Linked DNA regions of Macaca mulatta. The protein of the gene in region 2 interacts with the protein of the main gene of each other region in a biochemical or structural test. Links are inferred from orthologs where the notes say so. Each region holds a gene or a part of one and is shown on either strand. Other genes may lie near its edges.

Region 1 (4,103 bases), about 5.9 Mb from region 2:
TCTTAATTCTGAGACTGTGAAGAAAAACTGCAGGCAAGACAGAAACTACTCACTCTGGGCTGAGGATGTGATTCTCTTGGTTGGCTTTTTGGGTGTGAAGACCAAGCCAGAGGCTGATGGAGCCAAGTGGAGACTGTTAATATTTCCATTCATGGACATGCAATAGCAAACCATCTCATACATTTACAGGAAAGCATCAAATATAATATCTTTGTTGAGCTTAATCAAAACCAGAGTAAAATTCCAGTCGACAAGAATAGAAACTTACCCTAATGATTTCATTTTTAGTCCAAAACATACAGTGTTTTCTCTGCTTGGTCTGTTTGTCACTTTCTAAAACAAGAAATTACCAAGCAAAGACTTTGGTTTGAGGGACGAGTGGAAAGCAATAAACATTGAGCAGAAATGCAAAGAGATCGAATGTCAAGAGTCCTTGGTGGATGAACATTCAGAAGTGGATTCAATTTGTGAATTGTTGACTTTATTTCCCAGAATTCATGTGAGTTGCTCAATCAGGATTCAATTGTCCAGGCTTCATGCTCTCAGCAGTGACTGTTTCATATAACAGAAGTAAATCATAAGGCAAAAAAAGAGGAGGTTGAGTTACCATCAGCGGTATGTTGTTTGTTTGTTTGTTTTAGGCAAGACATTTGCTTTCATCGTTAGCAGGTGAAATGGCCTTTTTCTAGAATAATAAAAATCTCGCACTACAAAAAACATAACCAGAAGAGAAAGAACCATCTTCTGATTTGCCATAGTGAGTTCAGTCGATAGCTTAATATTAGGAATTACATTGCTATGTATACAGCAAATTGGTGGTTTTCATTACAAGCACTGGGTGAAACTCTGGAAGTTGCTCTAGCCCACCAGCCCATTGCCTCTAGAAACTCTCTTTAAAAGAGATAAAGCCACCATCTTCTTTTAGCTTCTCAAGAATAGTGAGTATGATGGTGCAAATTAGAGGAAGGCTCTTCATCAGTGAACAATGGCTGTCACCTACAGGGTAACAGTGACATTTTGGCAGGCACATCAGAAGAGCACAACATGGCCATTAATTATGCAGTTTGGTCCTGTCACCACTGGGCACTATGGGATATCTGACAATGTTGGTACTGATGATTGGTGGCCCTGGCCCTGGTGCTGGATCTGCTGATTCCAGTTAGGAGCCATCCTGGGGCTAAGCCCAGGTCAGGGACAGAGGGAGAAATGGCTGTCTCATTTCCCATCATCCTGGAGCTTGTTGAATGTGGTGGCATGAATGGATGAATCCTGAACAGATGGAATGAGATCACCCCAACACCTATAGGCACTGGAACAAACTAAGTGAGCTGGGATTTGTCTTACCCTTAGGAAACCTGATGTTATTGTAGAGGAAAACTGAAATAGTAGAAAGAGAACATTGGCGCTATAGTGGGACGCAATTGAGAGAGGAGGGGAGTAAGAGAATGAGAGCAAAGAGTAAATGAGAAGAAGGGGAAGCAGGAAAGTAACAGAGGGGAGTGGAGAAAGCAAAGGAGGGTGTGGAGGGAGATCCAAAGGGCAAAGGAGCAATGCCAGCAAGAGAGAGAGAAGCTGAGAGAAAGATCAGAGAGACAGAGACTGAGGAAAGACTTTGAAGATAATCTCAACCTCAGCTCTGGTGAGGAGGAAGAAATCACTGCACAAATCACAAGCAGACTTACAGTGATGTACTCAGCTTGTGCTGGTGAGATGTGATTCCTGAATTTCCCTAGAGAAAAAGTCCAAGGAATAGGTAATCATAGCCATTTTATAATAAGCAACAACTCTACCGAAAGAACCCAAATTTCACTGAACCGGCTTCTGGTAATCTTACAAGATTATGCATGATGATGTTTCAGTTTAGAGTCTATTAGAATATGATTTCTGCTGGAAAAATGTCAAATATAATCCCAAACCCAATGATAACATTGCCTTGGCAGAATGAAACAGTGATTTCATCTCATAGGTTAGGATAAGGCCATATCCAAGGGCTCACAGCATCTTCAACACAAAAGTCCTTCATTGCAGGGCCACTGGGCTGGGCGTGCCAGACTGTCTCTTAAAATAAATGAGATTATATGACCTCACCATTATCAGATTCAGAGAAAATGCCTTGGAAAAGAAATTGTGAGTAGAAAGGACACAAGGACAACATCAAGGGAATTGGGGTTTCCCATTGATGCTTGGATCCAGCTGGAGTTAGTTACAGTGTAAACTTTGTTTAATCACATCCTCTGTCATTAATAAAACCCCAAACCAAATACAGAGATAGATGATGATGTACTTGGATTTCACATTGAGTTTGCATCATGCTTTACCAGGTGCCATCCATAAATCTGGGATGCAGGCTGCTGGAGCTGGGGCCACAGAGAGGCTGTCTCAGGGATGTGCTTCCACCATTGCTCTGTGCCACTGCCATGCCCCTGTCACTGCTGTGCAGTTGGTCAGTGAACAGGCTGATGAAGGCTATAGGCTTTGCCCAAGACCCACAGTCATTCTCTTCCCAGAGTGGCAGGTGTTAAAGGCAAACCAGGAAGGTGAGGCACCTGAAAAACCACACCATAACAAAAATGGGTTGGATGAAGTACGGATGTTAGAACTTCAGGAAGGCTTTCACAGGGAGTCTGAGAAGAGCTGCTCTCCATCATTCCAGGAAACACAGCGGGCAGAACTGGAAGAGAGGCAAGTGCTACTTCAACATGAGGTTTCTAAAGATATTCAACTAAAGAAATGGGCTGCCAGTTGTGGTGGAATTCCCTGTTATGAGCAGTGTCCAATTCAGTATGAATGACTGTCATGGCCTTTTGTTATAAGAGCATTAAACTTGTGTAGATTCAGTTATATGTAATCAGAAAAAGATTAAAAGAAGGAGAGAAAAAGGAAGCAATGAAAGAGGTAAAGAAGAAAGGAAGGAAGGGAGGAAAGAAGACAGAAAGTGAGAGAAAGAAAGAGTGAAAATGATGAACCACTTAAAAAGTAAGGGTGATTCTTAGTGTCATTCCACAAATGACTATGTGAGGCTAAGATTTGAATATACCATTCTTCAGTCAGAGTTGCTTCCCATTCAACTTTCATTCTGCATGATATTGGTGTTAAAGATTGGTGTTTTTAAAAAAAAAATATAGCCCCTTGTAAGCCAACTACTTTGTCTTGTGCTCAACCCAAGAAAGAGCAACTAGTTCTCACTGGAGGAATAACTAGCTGGTTGAACTTATTGAGAGACACTAATGGTTCTCCAACACGGCTCCTTCCTCAGGGATTTTCAAAGGTAAAGTCGGTTACAGTTCAAAGGCCTTTCAGACATTGATTTTAGAATGCAGTCCCTGTATGTGATCAGTTAGGCTCCATTTAACAGGAATGCCAGACAGTCCTATTGGCAAGGAGGGAAGATAAGTGATCTTTAGCAGAATGAGTGGAGAAGGCTACTGGGATACCTGAAGCAATCAGGTAGCCTTTGAGCCATCCTTTGCACTCTAATAAGACCCCTTTGTTATGCCTTAGAGCAGTCATACCTGCTCATTTAGGAAGCCAGGACTTGATAATATTATAATAAAACTAATTTTAGATAGATGCATATATTAAAGACAGACACAGGGAATAAAGACTAGAAGGAAATACAATATGTGTTGGCAGTAGTTGAATTACGAGATTATGGGTGATTTTTGTTTTATTCTTTATACTGTTCTATATTTTGTAAATATTTTGAAATAAACTATGAAAAGCTTTTTAAATAATTATTATACTTTAAATTCTGGGATACATATGCAGAATGGCAGTTTTGTTATCTAGGTATACACATGCCACGGTGGTTTGCTGCACTCGTCAATCTGTCACCTACGTTAAGCATTTCTCCTAATGCTATACCTCCCCTAGCCCCCGACTCCCCGAAAGGCCCCGGTGTGTGATGTTCCCCTCCCTGTGTCCCTGTGTCCTCCTTGTTCAACTCCCACTTATGAGTGAGAACATCAGTGACAGACTAAATAAAGAAAATGTGGCACATATACACCATGGAATACTATGCACCCATAAGAAAGGATGAGTTCATGTTCCTTTGCAGGGACATGGATGAAGCTGGAAACCATCATTCTAGGCAAACTATGAAT
Region 2 (3,610 bases):
ACAGAGTCTCACTCTGTCCCCTAGGCTGGAGTGCAGTGGCGTGATCTCGGCTCACTGCAAGCTCTGCCTCCCGGGTTCATGCCATTCTCCTGCCTCAGCCTCCCAAGCAGCTGGGACTACAGGAGCCCCCGACCACGCCCAGCTAGTTTTTTGTATTTTTTAGTAGAGATGGGGTTTCACCATGTTAGCCAGGATGGTCTCGATCTCTTGACCTCATGATCTGCCTGCCGCGGCCTCCCACAGTGCTGGGATTACAGGCGTGAGCCACCACGCCTGGCTTCTCTTCTTTCTTATATCACTTCTCTCCTTCCCACCACTGTCAACTCAGGATTTCTGGGGTTCGTTGCTGGTTCTGCCCATTAACTGTCTAATATGATTATATTATCTAATTATTAACAATTTTGGTTTCCTTTCTCTGTGCCTCAGTTTCCTTGATAAGAAGCAGCAGTTCTCCACTCTTGGAGAAAAGGGTTTCAATTTCTTTTGGGACAAGAGTCTCGCTCTGTCGCCCCGGCTGGAGTGCAATGGCGCGATCTTGGCTCACTGCAACCTCTGCCTCCCAAGTTCAAGTGATTCTTGTGTCTCAGCCACCTGAGCAGCTGGGATTACAGGCATGTGCCACCACACCCAGCTAATTTTTTTTTTTTGTAGAGACAGAGTTTCACCATGTTGGCCAAGCTGACCTCGAACTCCTGGCCTGAAGTGATCCACCTGCCTCGACCTCCCAAAGTGCTGGGATTACAGGTGTGAGCCACGGTGCCCGGTTGGATTTCAATATTTGTTAGCCTATAAGAAAACTGTCTTTCACCTCCTCCAACAGGGAAGGGGAGATAGAGAAATCTGAGGAATGCCGATACCAGAGAAAGTCCTCCAGGGAACAGAGGCAGATGGAGGGCTGCTTGGTCACAACATAGTCTCGACCATTCTGACACACGGATGACTTGCGTAGCCGCAGAAACTGTTCTTTATAGCCCAAAATGCAGCCATCTTCATAATCTTCAGGGTCTGTGGAGTGTGCCAGCCATATGGTATAGTCCTTCTCTTCACCTGAATGAGAGACAGACTGTTCAGGAAAAGTGCACAGCACAGAACCCACCCACGGGAGGCAGCTGCCAGGCTATAGGTAGAACAAGGAGAGGGAAAGTGGGAATGTCTGACTCAACCTATTCCTTCATTTTGGAATTGCAAACAGAAAGCTACACTAGTCTAGAGCCTACTAGCAATTGCATTTCCTCATGCCAAAAGAATATTCTTTCCATCTCAACATCCATCTGAGGATTAGGAAAAACCCTACTTGTTTTGAAGTGGGAGCTGGATAGAAAATCTCTCTAGTTCCTTCCAAACTAAGAGGCTGTTGTCTGTGTGTCTTGCACACCTACGCCCTCAGTCAAGGAGCTGTCAGATGTAAGCAACCAGATATTTTCCACTCAGGGCCAGGGAGCTCTTTGTTTAGGACAAGACTAATTAGCCAAGAACACAGGTTCAATTTCACCATGTGTTCACTGGCTTAAGGCAGAAGGGAAAACATCCTCTTCCTAGACTTCTAGCTCCAATTGACCGGCTCTCAAATGCAGATTGCTGATGAACCTAGTTTCTGGCTTAGTATGTCGTATCATCTACTGGAAAAACGACTCAAAGGCTGTGACCTAAAGACAGTGGATTAGGTTTTATCCTTCGGGAAATGAAGACCAGCATAGATCCTGCTAAAGAGCAGGTGCCTAACAAATCTTTTAATGACATTAAACTTTAGGGGTAACTGGAAAACTGCCTGCTGAGGGGAGAACTCCCAAGCCAGCTTCTGTACAGACTACTGAATGGATTTAAATGACAGCGACCCTCAGGCATTAAATCTATTTGAACGTCTTATGGAAAAGTAAGGTCCAAACCAAGGGTCTGCTCCCTCAGGAGTCACTAAATCAACACACTGAGGAAATGAGCTCACGAGTCTCAAAGAACCAAATTCAACTAAAGTGTCTGGAAATGTTAAGTCTTTTATTGCATCATGCCAACACTTAACTACAGGTCATCCTTTTTCCAGTGTTTTCCTTTATCCCCCTTCTTTTTTTTTTTTTTTTTGAGATGGAGTCTTGCTCTTGTCACCCAGGCTGGAGTGCAATGGCACGATCTTGGCTCACTACAACCTCTTCATCCCGGGTTCAAATGATTCTCCTGCCCCAGCCTCCCGACTAGCTGGGATTACAGGCACCCGCCACCTCACCTGGCTAATTTTTGTATTTTTAGTAGAGACGGGGTTTCGCCCTGTTGGCCAGGCTGGTCTCGAACTCCTGACCTCGTGATCTGCCCATCTTGGCCTCCCAAAGTGCTAGGATTACAGGCATGAGCCACTGCGCCTGGCCATTCCCCTTATTTCTTATATAATGCCAGCACCTTTGTTTGGCACTGAGATCAGGGTTTGCTTGTGACACTTCGGGAACACTGTGTAATGAACATTATGAATCTTTTTCTGAAGCTATTTTCTGGTCCTTTAATACTGCTTAATGTTGAAATAATATTTTGTATATATTAAGTTTATTTTATTAATATCACCTTTCTTTTTACTTTTATAATGTAACTGACAGAATAATTTAAATGACATATGTGACCCTCATATTTCTCCTGGACAGTGCTAGCACCAAGGAGGAGGCTGTTTTTCTGATGCCATTCCATTACTTAATCACCCGCACAGAACATCTGTCAATCCTCTTTCATGTGAATATGCATCTGCTGATTCCAGCTAACAGAAATCAAACCATATTGATTATTTAGGAAAATAGGCTTAGGTTGCTGGTAGAAAAGGTCAAAGGAGACACTCACAGTTCCTTTCAAGGATATCTTTAAAATCAATGGTGTAGGAGACCCACTGGCTGGTCAGGAAAGATTCTGTGAAGCCCCAAATACTGATATTCATGGACCTCGCTCCAGGTTCTGAAGCTAGGCCAGTGAAATAGATGGGGTCCCTGGTGAACGTGTAGGTTTGCCAGCACTGACCTTCGTCTGTGGAGAACCTGAAACCACGATTAGAGAAAGATCATGACAGAGGATCCACGTATACTGGGAATTCAGAAAACCACTCTGGCTTTTTGACCCCAAACCAGACAAAACCCCTTACACATTTAGGTGATGGCTTATTGGCTGACAACTATTTTAATCTTTTTTTTTTTTTTTTTCTGAGATGGAGTGTCACTCTGTCACCAGGCTGGAGTGCAGTGGCACGATCTCGGCTCACTGCAACCTCTGCCTCGTGGGTTCAAGAGATTCTCATGCCTTAGCCTCCCGAGTAGCTGGGATTACAGGCACGTGCTACCACACCCAGCTAATTTTTGTATTTTTAGTAGAAATGGAGTTTCACATGTTGCGCAGGCTGGTCTCGAACTCTTGATCTCAGGTAATCTTCCCGCCTTGGCCTCCCAAGATAATCGGTGTGAGCCACCGCACCCGGCCAACTATTTTTACTTTTAATGTCTGTGGTTAACAGGATAAGCAAAAGAGATTTGTTCAGAGAGAGTATGAAAGTAAATATCTTTGCAGAAATTATTTCAAAGGAAAGACAGGAGAGTGACCCAGGTAAGAAGTGGCTTTTAAATTAATAAATTTAAGGCTGGCTGTGGTG
Region 3 (4,396 bases), on a different chromosome or scaffold from region 2:
CAACATTTATCACATTTTACAAAATGAAGTAGAAGAAAAAAAAGACAACGACTTTATGGCGCTGGAATTCCAGTAATGGTGACCAACATGTTTTAAATTCCAGTAAAGGTTATGGTTACATTTCAACAAGTGTCTCTTTCCTTTCTCTTACCTCTCCTGCTCACCCAGAGGTAAATTTACCAAAAAACAAAAATAAAAAAATAAAAAGTCACAAGCAAGGCATTTGCAAAAATCAGAAAACACGAACAGGTGTTTAGTGATGGTTTTTAAAAGGTGCTGTTCCCAGGGTCAAAACTTTGTGGTGTAATTTCAACATGCTATGTTACCTATTATGTGTAATGTCTTGAATCGCTACATGTCATAACATCAGAAATCTCCAACCTAAAAATTATGTTGCATGAGGTAAGCATTGAAGGCACACACGTTCAGACAAATTAAATCTGTAATTATGGCTCAATAAATTAAAATGTAAAGACATATCAAATTGTAAGACCGAAATGGCTTTTGACCTTACAACAAACTCATATAAAAATAGATTTTTCGATAATAATAAAGGGGAGAGAGAGATTTTTCAGGATATTGAGCCAGTAGGGAGGGGTCTCATTTAATAGCATATCGCCTTTTATATGCAGTTAGAAAATCAACGTTCCCAATTGCATACTACTTTGCTTTAAAAGATAACTGTACTAGGAGGATTAATAAACACTCAGAAATATGCTTTTCTTCGCTTCTGGCCAAGAACATTCCTGCGTGCTTGTTGGAAAACGTTCTTTGGTTGCTACTGACATTGAGAGTAAGTGTAAGATACCTAGAGGGCCCTAAAATAAGATCCAAGAAGCCCTAACACACCACCAATCGAGGCTTATCAGAGCTCCCCCAGCGCGAGGAAAACTTGCATAGAAGCCAAACAAGAACAAGGAGTCAAAATCCACCGACGACGAGTCGCATGCCCTACCGAGCTGGAGTCAGCAGCACCATTCAACAAGTCCCTCCTACCAGCTCTCTAAGGGATCCCGCAAAACCTTCCCTTACCACTTCCCCACCCCCAGCCTCCCGCCCCCAGGAGCTGCTCTTGGCAGCATGGCCGGCAGAGGGCACCCTCTACCTTCCCTAGCTTCCTTCTCCGGGTCCCCTCCTCCTCCTTGCCTCCCCTCCACCTCGGTCCCTCATCCCTGCTCCACCCCCAACACAAAAACACTGCATCCTCCAGTTCACCCTCGCAGCCCCAAGGCTTCTTCCTTAGGGCTGCCCCTAGTCTGTAATCTCCCCTTCTTCTTGCCCGTCGGGCACAGAGCCCCCAATCCTCAGCTATTTCTTTCCAGGCGCAACTCACTCTCACCCATTCTTCCCGGCTCTGCATCCCCAGAGACTAACCCGAGTAAGGAATCCCCCACCTATATCCCACCTAGTCCCCGAAAGTCAAAACTCTAACTTCCTTGGAGGGCGCTTCAGAAGAGGGGCGCAGGCTGGGTAGAGATGTGGGTTCGGCCCGCCCGGGAGTCTCGCAGACCCTTTCAGTTCCGAGCGGTAGTAATTCCGCCTCCCAAGTTTTCTAAGCTACATTGGCTTCGGACTTGTAAATCCACTTCAGTCTCAACTCCTGGGGAGCAGGTAGCCGTGTGCAGTCCCGGGGACGACGCGGACTCAAGGCGCAAGCTTCCCTCCCACTCCCCCCACAGGTCGGCGCGGGGACCACCCAACCCCTGGAAGGATTCCTAGCCTAGCCTCAGCACCCTTCCCTCAGTCAGGGCCCCCGACAGCTCTGGCCCCCTAAGTCTCTCTCGACTCCTCCTGGGGTGGGGGAGGACTGCGAGGGATCCCCGGGTCGCCGTCTTGGCTCCCATCACGCAGCTCTGGGTCTCCTCCAGGCCTTCTGTCCTCTACTTCGTGCCTTCCCCGGGTCCCTTTTTCCCTGGTAGTGCCGGGTGACCTTCTGGGTTGTGGGATGGGGGAGAAAACTCCCCAGGAGCAACTCCAAATCCTCCCTTCTACCGGCGGGGAGGAAAGAAGGAGACTGGCCTCGTCCCACAACTTTGGGGGGTCCCCCAGTCAACTTTCTCCTGCGGACCGGCAGCTCCCGTACCAAGCCCCATGCCCGGCGCTTGCCTACCTCGGGGTCCACACAAAGCTCACGGGTCCCCGGCGGCGGAGTCACATCGTGGTTCCGATTCTGGCTCCAGCGCCCAGCCCGGGTCCTCGTCGCGGTGCTGCTCCCCGCCGGCCCCACAGCAGCGGTGGCAGCTGCATTCAAGTGTCTCATTAAAGCCCCCCGAGCAGGAGATGGGAGGCGCACCGGGCCGGTTCCTCCGTCCGGCCCGGGAGCCCGAGGCGCTACGGGGTGCGCGGGACAGCGAGCCGGCGGGTGCGCCCGGGCGCGGCGGCGGCAGCGGCTGGGACCCGGAGCTCCAGGCTGCGCCTTGCGCCCGGGTCAGACATTATTTAGCTCTTCGGTTGAGCTTCGATTGGTCAAACGGCGCCACCCCCCCGCCCCCCTCCCCCCGCTCGCCCGCGCTACCGATACCCGTTCGGGGCGGCTGCTTAAAGGGAACGCCGCGCCTTTTTCTCGCCCGGGGGACCGAGGGGCGCCTGGGACTCCCCGCTCCCCCAGGGCCTGTCCTCACGTCCTCCCCCAGGTCCCCGCGACATCATCCTGCGAGTCCTGCGCCCTCCCGGGGCGCCTTGGGCAGGACGCCCGCAGCTTCGAGGGGTGTTCCAGCCCCAGCCCCAGCCCCGGGGAACCCCGCGTCCCGCGCCCTCTGCAGAAACCCCGGCTGTGCGCGCTGGGGCGTGAGGGAGCGAGTGAGGATCGCACGCCCTGAGGTCTTGCTCCCCTAGCTTTCAACTCTCCCCTTCCTCCCCATCCCAGCACCTAAGTTCTCTGGGAATGGGCGTGCTTTTCCCGGGCCACAGACACACCTTCCCGCACCTTCCCGCACTACGGAGCTTGCGAACGCGAGCACACAATGAAATCGCACAGAGCATGGGGGCTATTGGTTTACTCCGCTGCCTTAAACACGCCGGCTTAAACAGAGTTCGCGCACTGACCTCTCTAGAGTTTGCCTAATAGGAATTCAATCAAGATAACAACAGCATTTTTTATTGATGAACGCCCCCAGATAACGTTACACCAAGTTACTTGTTCCAGCCAGGAAGCCCAGGCAATGACAGACCTCGCTAAAGCCACACGCTTTCTAGCAGACCAAACAGAAAAACGGAAAGAGAAAGAAAGAAAACAAACCCACCTTTTCAGACACTACTTGTCAAAGTAACCATCAAGGCAGCTGCTCTGGGAAAGACTTCGGCCCCAAAACTCCCAGACTCTATTATTTTTTCACGTTCTCTTTGCTTAAAGGGGGGAGGGGGCGCGAGTCTTTAGTGCCCGGTATGTACTCCTTCTGTTCTGCAGCAAAGAAGTTAAATTATTGATAGTGGAAATTGCATGGCGGAGGTAATACTCGCACCCCATCAGCTAGAAGCTCCATTTGATCTCGGCAGAGGCAGGAAGATTTCATGCTAGCTCGCCGGGGGGAGCGGCAGCGAGAGCAGCCCTCTCCGCGGTGAATGGGAAAGTGGGTGGGAGTCCACGAGAGGGCTCCACGGTGCCTTGACGTGCGCTGTCATATGATACCTCCGCTGCCTCGAAATAGACACTCTAGTGCACGAATTACCAGAATCAAAATTCAGCGCATTTAAAATGATACATCTTTTATTAGAAGAGTTCCGTTCCAGGGCATTGCATGCTTTTGCAGATGTTTTCACTTCCAGCCCCAGCAAACACACATATAAGCTAACCCTTTTAATAACGAACCAGGGCAGCAAAGATAAATAAAAAATCTTCTGCTTTAACCAGAGTGGGGGTAGGGGATTCGAGGGTGGGGGCAGAACTGGCTCAGTTAATCCTCCCCCGCCCTCCACCCCCACCACTGCCCGCAGCAAAAGAGCAAATAGTCTTTCGGGTTCTCATTTGCCTGTAGCCAAGACCCATGGAGAGAACTTATATGGCTAGGGTCCAGAGGACATTTTCAGTTATCCGTTTGATGAACTCTGTCAACCGTCTACCTGTGTTTCTGCTTTAAGGCTAAATTTTATTCTCATTAGTTCAACCAATTTGTGCAGACCTTAAAATTTAGAATAAAGAACAAGACAGCAGTACCGTACTTAACTCGGAGTCCCTGGACCTCCTCGGAGCATAAAAATCACCTGAGTGAGTGTTAAAATGAAGGTCCTTCCTCCTGAAATTGTGATTTAGTAGGGGTGGGGCAGGGTCCAGGAATTAGAATTTTAATAAATACCACAAGCAATTCGAATGCAGACAATCCGAAGTCACACTTTGAGAAGCACTCTCTTGGGGGTACAACACTGGGTATCAGAGGAATCTCCCACCAAGCCCACACCC
Region 4 (4,201 bases), on a different chromosome or scaffold from region 2:
GAGTGATCAAAACTTTAACACTTATCACCTTATTTCCTACATTATCTCAGACTTGCCTGCATGTTCAATGCCCTGACCCTAACAAGCCCTACTAGAATTATAAGCAGCATTTATTATTATTTTTTAATGCTGGCAGTGCTTGGCACCATTTCCTAAATGGAGGTTAAAAATTTGCCAAAGATGTATTCTACTTTTCTCTTTCTTTCCAAGATCTTTCAAGAGATGAGCTTAAAAAAAAAAAAAAAAAAAAGAGGTCTAATGGGTGAGTGATATTTTACAGCTTGAATTACATTAAAAGCCAGAAACATTTTGAGTCCAAGGTCTTTTACTTCTTAATACAACAAGAGCTAACATGTTTGATGTGTTTAAAATCTCCCCTCAAAGCCAGAAGCTTTGAGTTTATCACTTAAAGCAGTGTGAAAGTTATTCAATCAGTTTAAGAAGATTTGAGTTCAAATTAGAGGATTAATTTTAGTGGCTATGATATGAAAGATAAAATAGTTAAGGCAAGGGATGAGGGCAAGGGTCTCCAGAACTTGAATGGAAAGAATTTCAGCTTCATTTATTTGATCAAACCACTCCTGAGAACCATATAAAACCACAGCCTCTGTCATGAAGGAGGAATTGTAGGGAAAACCCTGCTACCGCTCTCAGGACAGATACATCAATCAATACTAAATATTATCTATCATGATTTGCCTTAATACAATTTATATCTAAGTACCCAAGGAATTCATGATGACAGACTAGCATTTTAAAATGTTCACAACTCTCATTTAAAAGCTGACAATGAGCACAACTCACTAAAGTGGCACTTCTCTGGGAAGGTTTCTGGGAATTACATCACAACGGAAAACGTTCTGAAAGGTACCAGAATGTGTAGATTGTGCATATTACAAACACTACAATCTCAATTACCTGGGTGAAGCTGTAAAACTTGAAAATTTTTTCCCCCATTTTACCCATCCTTGGTTTTTATGTTCTTGTCTATGCCTGGAGAAGTTTCCACACTTTAAAATCATTGTTAGTTATTAGAATCAAAGCTGGTTCTTTATTATTTCTACTCACTGAAGTTTCCAGGTTCAATTTCAATGGGAATAGCTCCCTCAGATTGCAGACAAGCAAGCTTTTCTGAAAATCTAAAACCTTTCCTGATATGACCAAAGCTCATGGACTTGCATCCTAAGTCCCCTGGAATCCAGCCTCCTGGAATTGAGCAATCCCTTTCCTGCCTTCATAAAGGGTATGTTAAGTCTTTATTTGTGCTCTTCATTAGAGGAGGTCAGGCAATGGGGGAGAACAGGGAGTTGTTGTCACTGGGATATATCTGATTTTCCTGAGACTGACCATGCCAGAGAACAACCGCTCATTCACAGACTGGAAAGCCCCAGTTCTCAAAACACACTCGCTTAGTGCTGTTAGAAGATGCTGGAGAGTTCCTGTCCTGAAACTTGCATCCACTTGGTCCCCTAAAGCAGAGGATACACTAAAGAACACCCTATACTCTCCACTGCAGTTCTCCCTTGTGGGGAAGAAGGGGTTAGGAGCTCTGCATGAAATTAAATGGAAATAAAATAAAACGCCTACATACATGGGTCTTCTTAATCTTCCTTGAGCCAGTACATAAGTCTGGCAAGTAAAGGGAAAGTCACTTGAGGGGATGTCAGCCTGCCTGGAAATTTAACCCTTTCGTCTCTGTATTAGGAGAACTTTAACCCCTCTGTTTGTCTGGTCTTCAGTTTCACACACCAGTGCGACCAAGGCAACAAGAAATAGGGATTTGACTCCTCAGTTTGAAACTGTGGCATTTGGAGAGGACTCTGATGGTGTTGGTGGGAGAGATGGGGAGGCTAGTCTCCTAGCAGGTGATGTTAACTCTTGGGGGAAGTGGGCAAAGACCAGTTTGCAGCATCTCCCAAGTCCAGAAACCCTATTTCCCCCCAATTCTCCACCAGATCACACAGCCGACTTTAACCCTTTCCATCTTTCCACTCCTTTGCCCTTAGTCCCATTCTACTCACGCTGCTGTTGTGGCCAGACCAGTGGACCATGGCTTGGTTGTGTGCTGAGTCTCCCGTCAGAGCAAACGTGGTGCTGGTCAGCCTCAGCTCCTCCATCCGGAAGCGGGTGGCTTTGTCCGGGTCCCGCTCCCGAGTACCAGGCTCCTGCTGCCCTCCATCTCTTAGCACTCCCCGGGGGCTCCGACTCGCGCCCTCTCCCCGTTCTGCCTTCTCCTGATCCGCACCGCTCCGTCTCCTCCGGCCGGAGCGTGCAGCAACCGCCACGGATGCTCCAGTGCCCCGAGCCCGCTCCAGGGACAGCGCTCGGTTCCCGGGGGCCACTGAGAACAGGGGGCGCACTACGAGGGGCAGGGGCGTGGCAGGAGCCCTGCCTGGCGGCCCCTGGTAAGAAAAGCCCCTAGGGGTCGAGGCCGAGCGTGGGGCCGAGCTGGGGTGCGGCGGGGGGCAGCAAGAGCCGCCGCCGAAGACGCCCGGGACGCAGAGGACCAAGAGCCCCGCGCCGGCTAGGAGCGCGCTCAGCCGGGCTTGGAAGCCGCCGCCGGCGCCAACTTTTCCCATCGCGGGAGCGAAGAGCAGCGGAGAGAGGGTCCCGGACCGAAGGTGGCGGCGCGGAGCTCGGCGCTGGCGGCTGTGGGGGGCCGGCGCTCAGGACCCCAACTCCATCCAAGTTGGGCCGCGGTGGGGGCGGGCGGAGGCGGCGCCAGGCAGGTGGCGGCCGCTCGCCCGGGCTGGGCTTGTGCAGAGCGCGGGTCCGGACGGAGCGAGCCGCCGCCGCGCGGGGGTGGAGCTGAGCTGAAGTCACTGGCGGAGCGGGCGCGGGCGCTGGCGGGCAACGCGGGAGGGAGGGCGGGCGCTGCCGGGGCTCCGGGCGCCGCGTCCCGCGGCCGAGCTGCGCTGCGCACCGGGTCTCCGGGCGCTGGAGGCGCCTCCGGCGACCTCCCCTCGGCCTCGCAGGCGCTGCCGCCGCCTCTCCTGCCGCCCACTCTGTGCCCCCGCGGCCGCGGGTCCCACCGCTGAGTCCGCGCACCCTGCCCGCGGGGGCGGTCGACCCCGGGCTCCCAGAGCAGTCGCTGTGTCGGGAGCTTCCTATTCCTGCTTTATTGTTTCTATCAGTCTGTGTTGCTGTTTCCTTTTTTCTCCGTCTTTCTCGCCTTTGCTAGTTGAGGAGATACAGATGGGTGGGCTTCTGCTCGTCCCCTCTCTTATGCTTCCTGAGTTGGCATCTTGACCTTACCCGGAGCACAGGCTGTGTGTCCCAGCCTGGGGGAGATCTCGGAAAGGCAGCAGCAGAGAGTGATGTAATTAAATGATCGTGTGTGTGTGTGTGTGTGTGTGTGTGTGTGTGTGTGTGTGTGTGTTTTAGTTTGGGGGATTTTTTTCCCATCAATTACAACGCTTATATTTATCTCCTAACCTCCTAAAGCATTCATTGAATTTGAACCCAATCTTCGTGCATGCAATCATATTTAAGAAAACGTTTTCCACTAGGCGTTTTTTAAGCAGATATATCTTGGTTTCCCTAAGAGACTGCAAACTCACTGAGGACAGGAAGATCAAATTTAGAGCAACTTGGAGGAAGTGATCTGGTTTTTATTTATCATTTTCCTCAGTACATGGCACAGTATCCTACATGGGAGGAAATCTGCCAGTCATTAGTTCAATAAATGTGTATTGTGAGTCTAACGCATATCTGCATAACAAATAAATACAGGAAAGGAGGCACAGTACTTATAGTTATTCTGTGTCATTCAGTGCCTGATCCAGTGCTACTGTCACATGCTTTGCGATCCCTATTAGAAAGTCTGTGATGGTGCTCTGCCAGTGGTTTGCTTTGGGACCTCAGACAAATCACAATCTCTTAGCTTCCTAAGCTTTAAAATTAAATGGTCACATTAGATGACCTTTAAAATCCCTACTGCTCCTAAAATTCTATAATTGTATGATTATAGTATGTGCCCAGCCTAGCACCTCTGCTACTGTTCATAAGTTCAGATGAAGATTTATAGCAGGTGAATGGGCTTTGAAAATGGCAAAGAATTTCTCAAAATCCAATCCTTTTTAAAGTAGACAGTTTGCTTCTAAGGGTTGAAATGGTTTCAGAATTCTTTGTTCAAAGTAATACTGAGGGATAATTACTCTTCAATTAATTAAATTATTTCTAATGTCCAAGAAAATGTCTG

Evidence for each region.
Region 1: the proteins of SORT1 (region 2) and NGF form a complex in vitro, tested with the Homo sapiens proteins (3 studies listed by BioGRID and IntAct, with this or other methods). The link is inferred for Macaca mulatta from reciprocal best matches to the Homo sapiens genes SORT1 and NGF.
Region 3: the proteins of SORT1 (region 2) and BDNF form a complex in vitro, tested with the Homo sapiens proteins (2 studies listed by BioGRID and IntAct, with this or other methods). The link is inferred for Macaca mulatta from reciprocal best matches to the Homo sapiens genes SORT1 and BDNF.
Region 4: the proteins of SORT1 (region 2) and SORCS1 form a complex in vitro, tested with the Homo sapiens proteins (2 studies listed by BioGRID and IntAct, with this or other methods). The link is inferred for Macaca mulatta from reciprocal best matches to the Homo sapiens genes SORT1 and SORCS1.

Annotation. Positions count from the first base shown.
Region 1 is NC_133406.1:124,961,461-124,965,563, reverse strand, and holds the start of NGF (beta-nerve growth factor), read right to left. Parts: upstream 2,903-4,103; 5' UTR 1-2,902. UniProt on the Homo sapiens protein: Nerve growth factor is important for the development and maintenance of the sympathetic and sensory nervous systems.
Region 2 is NC_133406.1:130,882,329-130,885,938, reverse strand, and holds part of SORT1 (sortilin), read right to left. Parts: intron 3,006-3,610; coding exon 2,815-3,005; intron 1,048-2,814; coding exon 858-1,047; intron 1-857.
Region 3 is NC_133419.1:37,581,917-37,586,312, reverse strand, and holds the start of BDNF (neurotrophic factor BDNF precursor form), read right to left. Parts: upstream 2,887-4,396; 5' UTR 2,261-2,886; coding exon 2,111-2,260; intron 1-2,110. UniProt on the Homo sapiens protein: Important signaling molecule that activates signaling cascades downstream of NTRK2. During development, promotes the survival and differentiation of selected neuronal populations of the peripheral and central nervous systems.
Region 4 is NC_133414.1:119,346,915-119,351,115, forward strand, and holds the start of SORCS1 (VPS10 domain-containing receptor SorCS1), read right to left. Parts: upstream 2,822-4,201; 5' UTR 2,580-2,821; coding exon 2,022-2,579; intron 1-2,021.